Lonchura striata: one gene and its partner. The protein of the gene in region 2 interacts with the protein of the main gene of each other region in a biochemical or structural test. Links are inferred from orthologs where the notes say so. Each region holds a gene or a part of one and is shown on either strand. Other genes may lie near its edges.

What was found.
Region 1: the proteins of TDRD3 (region 2) and TOP3B form a complex in vitro, tested with the Homo sapiens proteins (2 studies listed by BioGRID and IntAct, with this or other methods). The link is inferred for Lonchura striata from reciprocal best matches to the Homo sapiens genes TDRD3 and TOP3B.

Annotation. Positions count from the first base shown.
Region 1 is NC_134620.1:7,280,921-7,288,267, reverse strand, and holds the start of TOP3B (DNA topoisomerase 3-beta-1), read right to left. Parts: upstream 3,011-7,347; 5' UTR 2,930-3,010; coding exon 2,860-2,929; intron 2,199-2,859; coding exon 2,067-2,198; intron 1,849-2,066; coding exon 1,742-1,848; intron 1,326-1,741; coding exon 1,251-1,325; intron 319-1,250; coding exon 122-318; intron 1-121. UniProt on the Homo sapiens protein: Releases the supercoiling and torsional tension of DNA introduced during the DNA replication and transcription by transiently cleaving and rejoining one strand of the DNA duplex.
Region 2 is NC_134604.1:55,890,676-55,897,860, forward strand, and holds the start of TDRD3 (tudor domain-containing protein 3), read right to left. Parts: upstream 3,020-7,185; 5' UTR 2,929-3,019; coding exon 2,888-2,928; intron 1-2,887. UniProt on the Homo sapiens protein: Scaffolding protein that specifically recognizes and binds dimethylarginine-containing proteins. Plays a role in the regulation of translation of target mRNAs by binding Arg/Gly-rich motifs (GAR) in dimethylarginine-containing proteins.

The sequences.
Region 1 (7,347 bases), on a different chromosome or scaffold from region 2:
CGTGGAAAGTAGGGGCGGGGAGGCAGTGAGTGGCTGTGTGGGGTTTGGCTGGCATTAAACCATGAGGGCACAGAGCCCCTCTTGAACCTTTGACAAAACTGTCTGCAGTCTGTGCTGTCACCTTGTGAAGGCACAGCCAATCCTCAGATCCAGCTCCTGGCGAGCATCCACGGACAGAGCTTCGTTGCGATTGGGCTCTCCCAAGTGATTCATGGCATTGCAGATGTCTGTGTCGGTGATGGAGCTGAATTTAGCTCTGTAAATCGTCCTCTCCGTGCCACGAGGCTTGTTCATGACAGGAAGAACAGCATCAAGAACCTAAAGAAAATCAGAAGTGTACTTAAAAAGGATTTGAAAGATAAAGGCTTTCTCTCTAAAGATAAAAAAAAAACATTCTCCACAAAATATTTGTTTCTGTGTCACTGCTTTCTTATTTCAGCAAGATGTCATGCTCACACATTAACTGATAAGCCAGAGCAGTATTTGTCCATCCACTCAAAAGCATATAAAGAATTAACAAAACTGAAGGGATTATCTACTATACAGCAACTGCTGGGAGCAAATCAGTATTTTTGGCTAAGGGCAAAGACATTCAGCAGTGCAGCTGCAGCAGCTTTTGGTGAACATGTACCAATGTCTATCTGGGTTTATTCTACTCATTGCTAAGCACAAGTAATGACACAGGGGTAAGAAAGGAACTTACAATAATCACTTCATAAAACATGTTTCTTTAATCTAAAGAAAATCTCCAAACAAGTACTCTTCATGTAGGCTTCTGGGAATTGGATGTTAAAAAAAATCTTAGCAAAGTTTTTGTTCTATGTGTTCTCTGCTTTTTATGTGCAGAAGCAAAATTTAAGCAGCATGATTATACTTGCAAGCAGCTTCTGTGCTCCAAGGAATCTAATTGCTTAATAAACAAAAGATAACAGATGAAGTTTTATAAGGACATAAAAATAACTTCTCCAGCTGTGAAATACAGGCCAATTATTGAAGTACTGGAATGTTCTAACATTTAAGAGGCCTGATTCTTCATCTGAGATGAGCAACACCTCTGAAATTTATTTATACTCTTTAACTGACATCTTACAGAGTTAAAAGCATGTGGGCTTTTCCACCAAGGCCCTCTATGCCTTTAAAACTTTATTCAAGTTTAGTTTGAATTTTACTGTACACTCATAAAACAATGCATTGATAGTCTTGTCAGACATATATTATGGTGTTGTGAGTCTTAAAAATTGAAACCTTACTTCAAAACAGATGTTTTCTCCTTCCTTATCACAATCCAACCACAAGACAATACAATCACAGCCTCTTCCCTCCACCTGTGAGAAAAATCAGCACAGTTCTTCAGCAACTCAAAACAACATCTCCCCCCTCCCTACCCATATATTTTTTTCCTGGTTTCAGCATGGTGTGTGAAGTGTGAACAGTAACCAACACAGACTTATTTTAAAGAAGGCATTTATAAGCTGTGCTTACACTTGCTGTTATAAAGTTAAACTTGCATCCAGTGCTCCAACTCTCAGAAGCAGAATATCAACTGTCAAAAAACTCAGAAGGCAATGGGAAAAGTGACTTTAACATAGATTTTAGACAGCGCAAGAATCAGCAAAAATAAATTATTTATATTATGTTAATAAAATAGATCTAACTGTGACAAAAAGCTACTCCCTGGAAGAATTTTTATTTAGGCACATAGAAAATGCTAACTTTAAATTCTACTCCTAAGAAAGAATACCTGTAAAAATTTCACCATGGTCAGTTTGGGATTAGCTTCTTTCTTTTCTGTGGGAGCTTTACTAAAAAGTTCTGCTGGATCCACTTTGTCCCAGCTGTTATATTTTCCTGAAAAGCAAAAGTATATAAAATGGAGCTCTGAAGAAATATTTATAAAACAAACAGCTTCACATTGCAAAACACTTGGCTTTCAAAATTTATGTGGAAAATTTTCTACACTAACAGATCTTGCTTTACTGTATACCAAGAAACCTCTTCGTTTTTCTGAAGGACCTGGCAGCTCTACAAGCCATATTAGTTAAAACATTTGACGAGCAGGCAAATACCTATGAAATCCAAAGTCATGACGTGACCACACACCGATGTCATCTTGAAGTGGGCGCTCTGTCCTATGAAGGACCCGGTGTACTCGTGCACAGAGCACGCACCGTTGAGTCCCTTGCGAGAGGACATGTTCCCTGTGAAAATAAGATCATAAATATTAATGAGGTAGAAAAAACCCCAGCTAGTGAAACAAATAGTTTTGTGTGAAATTAAATCTTCCTTTCCTTAGATCTTACAGCTACGGTCTTTCTGATCATTGATCCTTTCTGATAATTGATGAGAAAGATCTACTCATTGATAAAACTTTCATTTCAGTAAGTATCAATTCAGGGCTTTCCTAAAGGATATTTTATCTTCAAATTAAACTATCCATTATCTCCACCAGCCTTTCCCTCCCACCATGAAACCTTACGAAAATACAGCTAGTTTTCTAGAACACACACTTATAATAACTTTATTTTCCATATTTATAAAACTTTTACTTCACAGATCTCAGAACAGCCACTGCCTACTTGATCGGCACTTTCCAGACACCGCATGCTCTAAGGCAAAATACTGAAACTAGATTCCTTTATTCTTGGATTAAACAGGCATCAGCCCATAGAAACAATCAGAACGTGATGGGACATCCCGTTCTTTGATGAACCTCTCCGAAGCCAGCGCTGCCAGGGGGCTCCGGCCCCAAGACAAGGCAGCCGCTGCCCAGGGTGCCTGTGCAAAGCCGGCAGCTCGCACTCACCGCCGCGCTCCGGCCGGGCCGGCCCCGCGGCGGGCACGGGCACCCGCCCCGCCTACCTCTGGAGAGGATCTTGGCGATGGACTGCGCCAGCGACGGCTTCTCCGCCACCATCAGCACGGTCCTCATCTTCGCCGCCGCGGCGCGGAGCCGCGGGCACGGCCCGGCGGAGCCGGGGAGGGACGGAGCGCCGCTCAGCCCGCCCGCGCCGGGCCACGGCGGCACCGCGGGCACGGGCACGGGCGCACCGCGCCCCGAGCGCCCGGCACAGCGCCCCGCCGAGCGGCCTCCGCGGGCGGCCCGCCGCGTCACTGCCGGTCACGGCGCCGGAAGGCGCGGGCGGCTCCCAACCGCCGCGGCGGCGCGCAAGGCGCGGGACACAGACGTGCGCCGGGGCTAGGGCGGACACACGGACACACAGAGACACGGACACACAGAGACACGGACACACAGAGACACGGACATACACACACGGACACACAGAGACACGGACACACAGAGACACGGACATACACACACGGACACACAGAGACACGGACACACAGAGACACGGACACACAGAGACACGGACACACAGAGACACGGACACACAGAGACACGGACATACACACACGGACACATGTGCGGACACACGGACACACAGAGACACGGACACACAGAGACACGGACATACACACACGGACACATGTGCGGACACACGGACACGTGCGGACACACGGACACACAGAGACACGGACACACAGAGACACGGACACACAGAGACACGGACATACACACATGGACACACAGAGACACGGACATACAGAGACACGGACACACAGAGACACGGACACATGTGCGGACACACAGACATACACACACGGACACACAGAGACACGGACACACAGAGACACGGACATACACACACGGGCACACAGAGACACGGACATACACACACGGACACATGTGCGGACACAGACATACACACACGGACACACAGAGACACGGACACACAGAGACACGGACATACAGAGACACGGACATACACACACGGACACACAGAGACACGGACACACAGAGACACAGACACACAGAGACACGGACATACACACACGGACACATGTGCGGACACACGGACACACAGAGACACGGACACACAGAGACACGGACACACACACACGGACACACAGAGACACGGACACATGTGCGGACACACAGACATACACACACGGAGACATGTGCGGACACACGGACACACAGAGACAGACACGGACAGACAGAGACACGGACACACAGAGACACGGACACACAGAGACACGGACACACACACACGGACACACAGAGACACGGACACACAGAGACACGGACATACACACACGGACACACAGAGACACGGACACACAGAGACACGGACATACACACACGGACACACAGAGACACGGACACATGTGCGGACACACAGACATACACACACGGACACACAGAGACACGGACATACACACACGGACACACAGAGACACGGACACACAGAGACACGGACACACAGAGACACGGACACACAGAGACACGGACATACACACACGGACACATGTGCGGACACACGGACACACAGAGACACGGACACACAGAGACACGGACACACAGAGACACGGACATACACACACGGACACACAGAGACACGGACACATGTGCGGACACACAGACATACACACACGGAGACATGTGCAGACACACGGACACACAGAGACAGACACGGACACACAGAGACACGGACACACAGAGACACGGACATACACACACGGACACACAGAGACACGGACACATGTGCGGACACACAGACATACATGCACGGAGACATGTGCGGACACACGGACACACAGAGACAGACACAGACACACAGAGACACGGACACACAGAGACACGGACATACACACACGGACATATGTGCGGACACACGGACACATGTGCGGACACACGGACACACAGAGACACGGACATACACACACGGAGACACAGACACACAGACATACACACACGGACACATGTGCGGACACACAGACATACACACACGGACACATGTGCGGACACACGGACACACAGAGACACGGACATACACACACGGACACATGTGCGGACACACGGACACACAGAGACACGGACATACACACACGGACACATGTGCAGACACACAGAGACACGGACACACAGAGACACGGACATACACACATGGAGACACAGAGACACAGACATACACACACGGACATGTGCAGACACACAGACATACACAGAGGCTTGTGCGGACATATGGACACACAGAGACACAGACATACACACACGGAGACATGTGCGGACACACGGACACGCACAGAGACACAGACATACATACACAGAGACACACACACACAGAAACGTGTGGACACACACAGACATACACACACAGACATACACAGGCACATATGCGGTTACAAGGACACACAGAGAGACAGACACAGACAGACACACAGACACATACGTACGCACAGGCGTGGATACACACACATTTACACATATAAACTCACCCACACATATACACACTCATACAGAGACATATACAGGTATACACGGACATATACACACATACATAGATGTACATGCAGAGACACATACACACACATATAAGCACTCACAGACATACAAATATATACATATATATATATATATACATATATATATATATATACACACGCATTCTCTCACACTCAGACCCCCCGGGGCTGGCGCCCCCCGCTGCAGCGCCCCCTGGCGGCTCAGGGCGGCGCGACCCCCGCGCTCCCGGCGGCGGGGCCGGGCCGGGCCGGGCTGGGCGCGGCCGCCGCTCGGGTCACTCGCAGGGACACCGGCACAGGGGCACCGGCACAGGGACACCGGCACAGGGACACCGGCACAACGCACCGCCTCCCCTTCCTGCCGAAGCCCGTGGGGAAGCTGTGCCGCGGGAACCGCCGGTGCCGTGCCGCATGGTGTGCAGATGCCCCCTTCCTTCATCCACACCGGTGCACAGAACGTGTATCACCCAACCCCTCTAAGGGAACACACACACAAGTTGTATCTGCTGTGTTCGAGCGACACGGACCGCTGTGCCTGTGCCAGTCTGTCACTCAGGTTACAGTTCCTGCAGACCCGAAACGCTACAAACAGTGTCGGACACTGACAGCATCTCCTTTAACACAGATAAATTCACCTTAGGACTCTTAAGAGCACCTGCTTCCCTTGCACCCTGATTAGATCATGGAAACAATATTGAGTGATTCTTGAAAAAGTGTATTTTTTTTGCACATTAGATTTTAGATTAACGTTGATGTCTCATTTAAGCAGAAATACAAAAAAGAGAAAAAACAGTGGGAAGAGAAGGGTCAGGCTGGGCAGAAGCACACCCTTCCCTCGTGCCTCCTTTCCCCAGGGAGAAGGCAAGGGCTCCCCCGGGGGATTTTGCCCCTGAAAGCTGCAGCTCCTTTCTCCAAGTCATGGAGGGACTCTTTGCTCTGTCCTGTTTCCCAGGGATGCTGGGCCCTGTTAAGGAGATTTGGTCAGTGGACTGAAGCTGTTTCTAACCTTTCCTGCATCTTTCAGCTCTTCCACACATCCTGAAATCTGTCTAGGGAAGAGATAAAGAGGGAAGCCCCAGGTTGATGGGTTTTTATAAGCACTTTGTGGAAAGAGCTCAGCTCTCTATTTTTACCCCCGTGGTTGTGCATCGATCGTTGCCAATGTTTATAGCACTTTTCCCAGAGCTGCTCAGTACCATAAAAACCCAAAGAGAAGAGATTGGGAAGCAGCCAGGATCAGGATGTATATCAACCTCATGCTGGCTGAAATAAAAAGGAACTAATTCACCTTCAATTTGATTAGTAGACAATTAATAGACACTGAAGTTGTTAGCGAAAGGAAAAATCAAAACAAGCCCAGGCCTTTTAATTCTTTGGCAATATTAAAGTTCGAACATATTAAAACAAATGTGTTCTTCTCTTTCAATGCCTGGTTCCCTTTGACATCTGGGGAACATCTGGAACAATCAGGATGCGAGTTAAAACCAAGTCTTCAGATATGTCAGATACATATTTTTTAATTTCCTCTGGTAAAAGCCCTCTACAAAATCCAACCTTCCTTTTTTCTTTGAATGCTCAACGAAACATGAAATTTCAACTTGCGTTCACCCGGGAAAGCACAGCCGGGACTCTCCCCCACGTGGCCGAGGGACTCCGGACACTCTGAGTCCCCGTGTACCCCGGGCTGGTACAGATGCGTGTGGCTGTTCCTGGGGCCACACAGGGGCTGCCCCGGCCCGAAGGGATCCCGCTGCCGGACACCCACGAGCCCTGCGGGGCCACCGAGTCACGGAGTCTCTTGGAGCGCTTTCAAAGTTGTCCGGAAAGCCTCACCCCGTTCCTATCCCTCCGGCATGGAGCTGCGCCAGTCCCAGCAGCGCGGAAGGGACCGGGACAGAGCGGGACCGGGACCGGGACCGGGAGGGAGCGGGACCGGGACGGGACAGAGCGGGACCGGGACCGGGACCGGGACCGGGAGCGGGA
Region 2 (7,185 bases):
CCGCACACAAACTACAGGAGCCTTTTACTCATTTTCATAAAATACCACCATCATCATAAAAAGAAAAAAATGTCTCCCAGCTTTACCTACCACTGTTATGTTTACTAGGTAGGGCTCCTTTACCTTTCAGAAGCTGACAAAAAATGTAATTGATATACTGAAGGCAAACATTACAAATTCAGAGACAATTTTATAACAGATTACTCTGACAATACCTGCTTGGGGGAGGGGAATAGATCTATAATTACTGTTCAGTATTAACTACACTTTATTACTGTTCTACTTGAAAAATAACTTTATTTTTCATTCAGAATTATAAAAGGTAAACACTAGTTGCAGAAACTGAAATAAACAAGTGTCTACCTTAACTCTCTAATTCTGTAATGTATAAGAAACTTACTGTAAAATCCACAGTACAGGTAGATTTTTACAAGCTAGCAGATTTTAAGCTAAGCAAAGATTTTTTACTTGACATGCCATGCAGTGCTTTTGCAGTTTAAGTGGGGATAGATTTTAACACATAAACTCAGTTTTTCTTTTGTACTAGAAATATTATCATTCTGACAGCAGGTGACAGCAGCAGTAACCACCAATTTGGTACAAAACTTTACTTAATCACCAACACTAAACCGACATTAAACATCACTGAAGGCTCACTCACAGATGTGTAAATAACTCTAAGATCTAATAATATGAGAAAAATCATAAGAGCAACAGCAAAGCAGTTAGAAGCATGGGTGCTCAGGTTACTACTCTTTTTTTAAGTGCATGAACACAGCTAAGCAAGATTTCCAAATCATTATTTATTTTTCCACTCCACTTCACATTCCTCAAAAGTATATGTATTAATTCCTCCCCTTTTATACTACCTTTCCCAATACAACCTGGTCAAGGCATAATTCCAGTGGACCTGATAATGAGCCCATTACTTGCCCCTTCAACTTCAGCCTCTGGCTCCCACCCTACAGGACTGCAAGAGTAACAACTGTTGACAGCCATTCAAAAGTCTCTGCCACCAAGGAGGGCAGCAAACACTGCAAAGGGACAGATTGTTTCAGAGGCACCTCATATTTGTACTGCCAAAAACTTGAAAGCCATTAAGCAATGGCATGCATTCAGCTGAAAAGGCAGCAAAACAACTCAAGAGCTGAAAACTGGGAAAAAATTTTGAATAGGCAATAGAAAGCAAGAAAAGAAAACTAAGAAAATAAAACTACTTTTATGTAAAACTTTTCCAATTTTGGAGAGGTCTACATAACAGAAGAGTAGAGGGGCAAGTTTCAAGTCACAGTCCAAAATTCCCGTCAAATAAGCAAATGTTATAAAAAGTAGCAGAACTAGTTTTGATTGTATCAATTTGGCAATAGCCAGGAGTCATAGGACTGTGCTCTCCAGAACCATTTAGAACAATGTTTTGGCTCTTGATACACTTATTCAAGAGGCATAGCAAAGGACACCTAATTACTCTGTTTGGTTACTATTACCACAAAGTAGCAAAAGCTGGCCCAACAAACACAGCATCACCAGGGGGTTAAAGGAGGTGATTCCCACTTATTCAGCACTGGTGGGGCCTTACCTGGACTACTGTGCAAAAAACTGGAAAGCTACATGAAGGTCCTTAAATGTGGAGGAGGGCAACAAAGCTGGTGGCATGTCCTGTGAGGAGCAGCTGAAGACTTTGGCTTGTCTCGATAGGAGAACAGGAGGCTGAGGGGCAAACCGCTTTCTACAGCCTCCTGAGTGGGGGAAGCAAAGACAGATTCTGCCTGGATCTAGTGACCAGATGAATGGGGATGGTTCAGAGCTGTGCCAGAGAGCGTTCAAATTGGATATAAGGAAGCATTTCTTTATACTGAGGGCATAATCAAACACTGGAAGAGGTTTCCTAGGGTGGCAGTCAAATGTTTAAGAGGAATTTGGCCAGTGTCCTTAATAACATACCAAGATTTGGTCAGCCCTGAATTCATCAAGTGACTTGACTAGATGATCATCATAGGTCCCTTCTAAGTAAATTGTCTTGTTCTATTCTAAATCACAGGATACCCACTTTAACTTTTTCCATCTTAGACCGTACATGAAACCACAATCTAGGACAACCACTAATGTAAACAGTAAACCAGAAATATCTCAAACATGCCGTTGGAAATAACTTTGCGTACATTGCTTTGTGCTTTAGCAGGCAGCACTAAACTTTAGGTTTGTCGAAAGACTTTCCAAGTAGTTATGGGAAAAAGTCAGTATTGACTAATAAGTGAATCACTTCAACAAAATAATCAAACAAACAAACAAAAAAGCCCCAAATCAAAATAAAAACTTCCTACAATGCAATCTCAGCTGTAGGCTAGCAAATAAGCGTTTACAGTAGGTATTTGAAAAGCACAACTCGTTGAAACACGTTGTTCCAAAATGGATATTGTGTGCCCAGCGACTGGGACTCTTAAGAAAACATAAGCAACCGAGTTCAAGCCTCACGTGTGGTTCATTTACCCCACCTTAACTCCACTTTTGCTTCTTGCCTGCCTTACAGAAGGGGCGCACGGTGCAGTTTACAGCCCCAGCAGTACGGGCAGGCGCCAGGCCTGCGGGCGAGGCCAGTCCCGGGGCAGGCGGGGAGGCCGCCGCCGATCCCGAGGAACCTCGGGGGTGGCCGCGGGGTAGGGGTGCCGGTCCTCGCGGCAGGGCCGGCGGGACGGGCCGGGAGCTGCTCTCCAGGGCGAGCCAGCGCCAGGCCCGAGCGCAGCGGGCGGCGCAGCCCCTGCCCGGCGCCGAGGGGCTCCCAGCGGAGCTGGGGCGGGACATCCCCCGCACCGCACGGCTCGGACACGGGCGCTGCCCGCCCCGCACCCCGGGCGGAGGCGGCGGCGCGGCCGAGCTCGGCCCCACTTACCAGCCCGACTCGGAGAGCGCCGCCCGCGCCCGCTCGGCCATGGCGCCTCCCCCGCCGCACTCGGGGCCGCGGGCGCTGCGGAGACCCCCGGCACTCGCTCGCAGGGGAGGAGGGACGCGGGGCCCGCTCGTTCCCTCGCCCCGCGGGCCTCTCCGGGCGCTCGGGCCGGCCAGGGGAGGGAGGGAGGGAAGGGGAGAGGGAGGGAGCGGAGGGAAGGAAGGGGCGGGGGCGGCGCAGGCAGAGACGAACAAAGCCCGCGACCGGCGGCTGCTTGGAAGCCGCTGCCGCCATGGCGGGGAAGGGAAGCAGTGAGGGCAGCGCGGCCGGGGAGCGCCGGCCCCGCTCCGGCGGCTGGCTCCTGCCGCCGTGCAGTGTCGGAAGGGCTTGCTTAAACGCGTTCCGGCTATGGATAGCATTATTGACAGTAGCGTTGTTCTGGAAAAGGCTCTCCTTCGGGCCCTCAAACGCGTGCTGCGGGCGAGGAGGGATTTTTAGAAGGGTCTGGAGCACACGTCAGATGAGGAGCAGCTGCGGGAGCTGGGAATGTTTGGCCTGGAGAGGAGGAGGCTCGGGAACACCTTCTCGCTCTTGACAGCTTCGTGAAAGGAGCTCGTAGCCAGGTGGGGGTCGGCCTCTTCTACCAAGTGACAAATGGTAGGATGAATGCAAATGGCCAGGAAATGGCCTCAAGTTGTGCCACAGGAGGTTTAGATGTCTAAACCTCCTATTTTTCCTAAAAGAAAGCTTTTTAGGAAAAACTTATTCACAGAAAGAGTGAAGCATTGGAAAGGCTGCCCAGGGAAGTGGTGGGATTCCTGTCCGTGCAAGTATTCAGAAAAGCTGTAATGTGGCGCTTAGGGGCATGGTTTAGTGGTAGACTTGGCAGTGCTCCTTAATGGTTGGGCTCATTGTTAATGGTCTTTCGCAACATTAATAATTCTTTTTGAAAGACTGGTTCTATGTTTCTTTTATTTTTGGCAATTTGTTGTTTGCGTTGTTTTCTTTAATGATTTGCCCTAAAATGCTGGGCACCGATATGAATATTTTGGGAGGGTTTTATGTGTATTTTTAAAGGGAATTATACTTTAACAGAATAGCACTCTTTCATCATTGCTGTTACAAGTGCCCAGTGCCCTCCGGTGCCAGTGATATGTGAGGTGGGAACACCGTCGCCCTGTTTACTCTGTGTTCCAGCATCCAGAGAAAGAGCCAGAAGGTGAACATGGGCAGGTCAGGAGTTAAGAAAATGCTTATCAAGGCCTGGGTGCTCAGGGTTTCTGCCTGCAGGTGAGGTCAGCTGCTCTGCAGAAAACACTGACCATTTGCATTAGTGCATCATGTCCAGCTACTTCTGTAACCCATCAATGCCAAATGGTTTTTTTTCAGCACTGAGGTTTTGAAACTTGTCTATCTGCTGTGTTTGTCTATTAAAGGTGGTCTTTTCTTTATGGGTTATTTTCACCCTCAAGATGTTTCAATTTTTATGCAGCATCTTCAAGCCAAAGCTTAATTTGCTTTTGTTGAGGGTTTTTTTGAGTCTTCTTTGGTTTCATTGTTTGATCTACCTGAAAACCTCTCTTTGCCATACTGAGTACAAATCACTCAGGATTTTTGCACACAACACTCTGTGCTGCTCATTCATGGTATTTTCTTTTGTGTCTATAGGTTATGTACTCTAGGACAAAAATTTTGTCATAAGTAGGTATGGTGTGGCCTGTGTAGATGCTAATTTTAAGAAAACACGTATATCTATAAGTTGATAATTGATAATAAATCTTGACACAGATGAAGGAAATAAAACCTATATTATTCAACTGAACAATGCATAATGCTATATATATTCTTGAAGCTTTCTTGGTCATGAGCATTAACATAAACCTAAAATAAAATTTAAAAAAAAAGGCAGCTTAAAAATGGAAGACTAACATGGGATTTCTGCCAACAAAATCTCAAAATAATGAATGTAGCCATAGGAAAGTGTTAATCCTTGTGGTCATTAAATAACCACAAAAAAATAGCAGAGGGAGCATTATTATTTGGGAAAGTGGATTATCAGAGGTTGTGCAGTCCTATGTCATGACAAGGCTCCAGGTGAGCATACGCTCATAAGCTGCAAAAGGAATAGAACTAGAAGAGAACTAGCCCACCCAAGAGCCCCGAAACAGACCTACTGTATGTCTGTACAAAAGAAACTCTTGAATTAGTGACGAGGAATACCCTAAAGCAGAAGAGTCACACTGAAATGTCAGTGGCCAAGTCACACCCATGTTGCAGCAGTAACAGCCACTGACATGGAAAAGCACTAGCAGATAAGTGTGGTTTCAGTTCAGAACTTATGATGCAAAAGAAATGGGAATAAAAAGAACTTGCATTTGGAGTCTGACCTGTCTGCACATTAGATTATCAAGATAAGGTTGTAAATATTGTAACTCAAAATGGGATGCCCATAGAGCCAATTAGTAAGGGATGGAGTATGACCTAGGAGAAGATAATGAGAATTACAGACCTTTTGCATTGCCTAGTGTTAGTTTAAGACATGGAAGGTTTTGCTTACTTAAATCTTCATTAAAGTCACCAGGCAATTATACCAGCAGTTTATGCTGGCATAGGGCTAGCTGTTGCACCTCATGGCACTAAACACCATCTATTATAAAGAAAATGTATATGCTTCTTAAAGGTCTGCAGGCATCTGCTCTAACAAATTAATTATATGCAAGCTGAGATGTGTTTGTGTATGTATTCACATGTGCCTCCTTTTGTACAGGAGAAGTCCCCATTAGTGGATGTTTCTCTGCTCACAGAGGGCACTGCCTGAGCTTTGTAGTTTGTAGCTGCTGCTGGCTGTGCTGAACCGAGGTGAGCAATTAGTTCCACTGTAAAACAAAAGGTGATGCAGTGCCTGCCAGACAGTCAGAAACCTGCAGCTAAGACCCTCAGTACCAGCTGTTTGTGATAAAACGTTCTTAGAGTATATTCTCTGTATCGATCACCTTTAGAATAAGCGACGTTGCTGAAGGTAATGAGCACCAAAGTACCTGGGGCTGTACAGGGACCAGTCTAAACTTCTGCACTCCTGTAAGGGGCTCTATGCCTTCAGAGCTTTCTCTGGAAAATGCTTGTTGCTCCAGATGAATCAGTGCATCACTGTCCACAAAATTCACATGGACTTCTTCTGTCCAAACTGCCTAAAATGCAGTTCTGTTTGACTGCTGCCCATGTGCCCTAGGACAGCTTAATCTGTGCCAAAGAGGTTATTTCACAATGTTCTGTAATTTTAAATACCTGAAAGGGTTGGTCTACTCAAGCACCTCTGGTGAGACAGTTCTAACAGAACTAGCACTCAGCACAAGACAGCAAGAGCCAGGTTTTGAAGCAGCCCTGTAGGCTCCTTGATTCATTGAATTGATTCATCCTTACTCCCTTCATCTCCTGCCAGTTCCAGGCTCAATTCTCTTGGTTAACAGTAGGCTCACAAAACTGGGGAGCTGAAACTTTTGACCGCACTTTCCAGAAATGAGCAAGAGCAGAAACCTGTAACACTCATCATGAGTTATGGCATCTTTCATCCCTACCTGATGTGCTGAAAGCACCAACATTGGGATGAAGACCCTGAATACCAGGTATAATAGGAGGTCCCCACAGCAGCAGCAAGTCTGTTTTGGTCTCAATTTCTGTCTTCCATAAAATATGCTTTCTTCATTGCGTTATCTGAAGGGAACAGGTCTGCTTACTGAACATAAAAGCAGATTATCCTTATCCTGGATCTGGAGCTGAAAGTTACTGGGCACTGAATGGAAAGGGCCTTTCTTTCTGGTCACTATTTCTAGGAGTGTGCTGGAGTTTGAACAAAAGTGGTGGCCTCTCCATGGTCTGTGATGGACTGGGTCCTAAACTGATTTGACTGCAGTCAGAAGGATTAGCTTTTCTACCTGTATTGTTGCATGTCAGCTAAAATATTGTGTATGATTTATGTGAAGGACAGTACTCAGCACACAGTCTTTCTTATATGGCAGCTAGAGAAGAGATTAACTTTTCACAGACTAATAAGAAGAAGGGAGATTTACAGAACTAAAGATTTTCTTCATGGGGGAGAGGAAGGAGAGAGGCTTGGAAAGAAGCAGGATGGAGGAAAGACAAACAGCAAGTACGTATCCTACATGGAAATGGTAAAGGATTATGAAGTCTTGGGCATAATACCATCACCTATAGCCACAGACTGTTGTTAAGGTGGTGTTGCAAGGAGAGAGAATTTTCACTAAAGGCCAAGACTAACATTTTTGTCAGGCTGCTCTAATTGA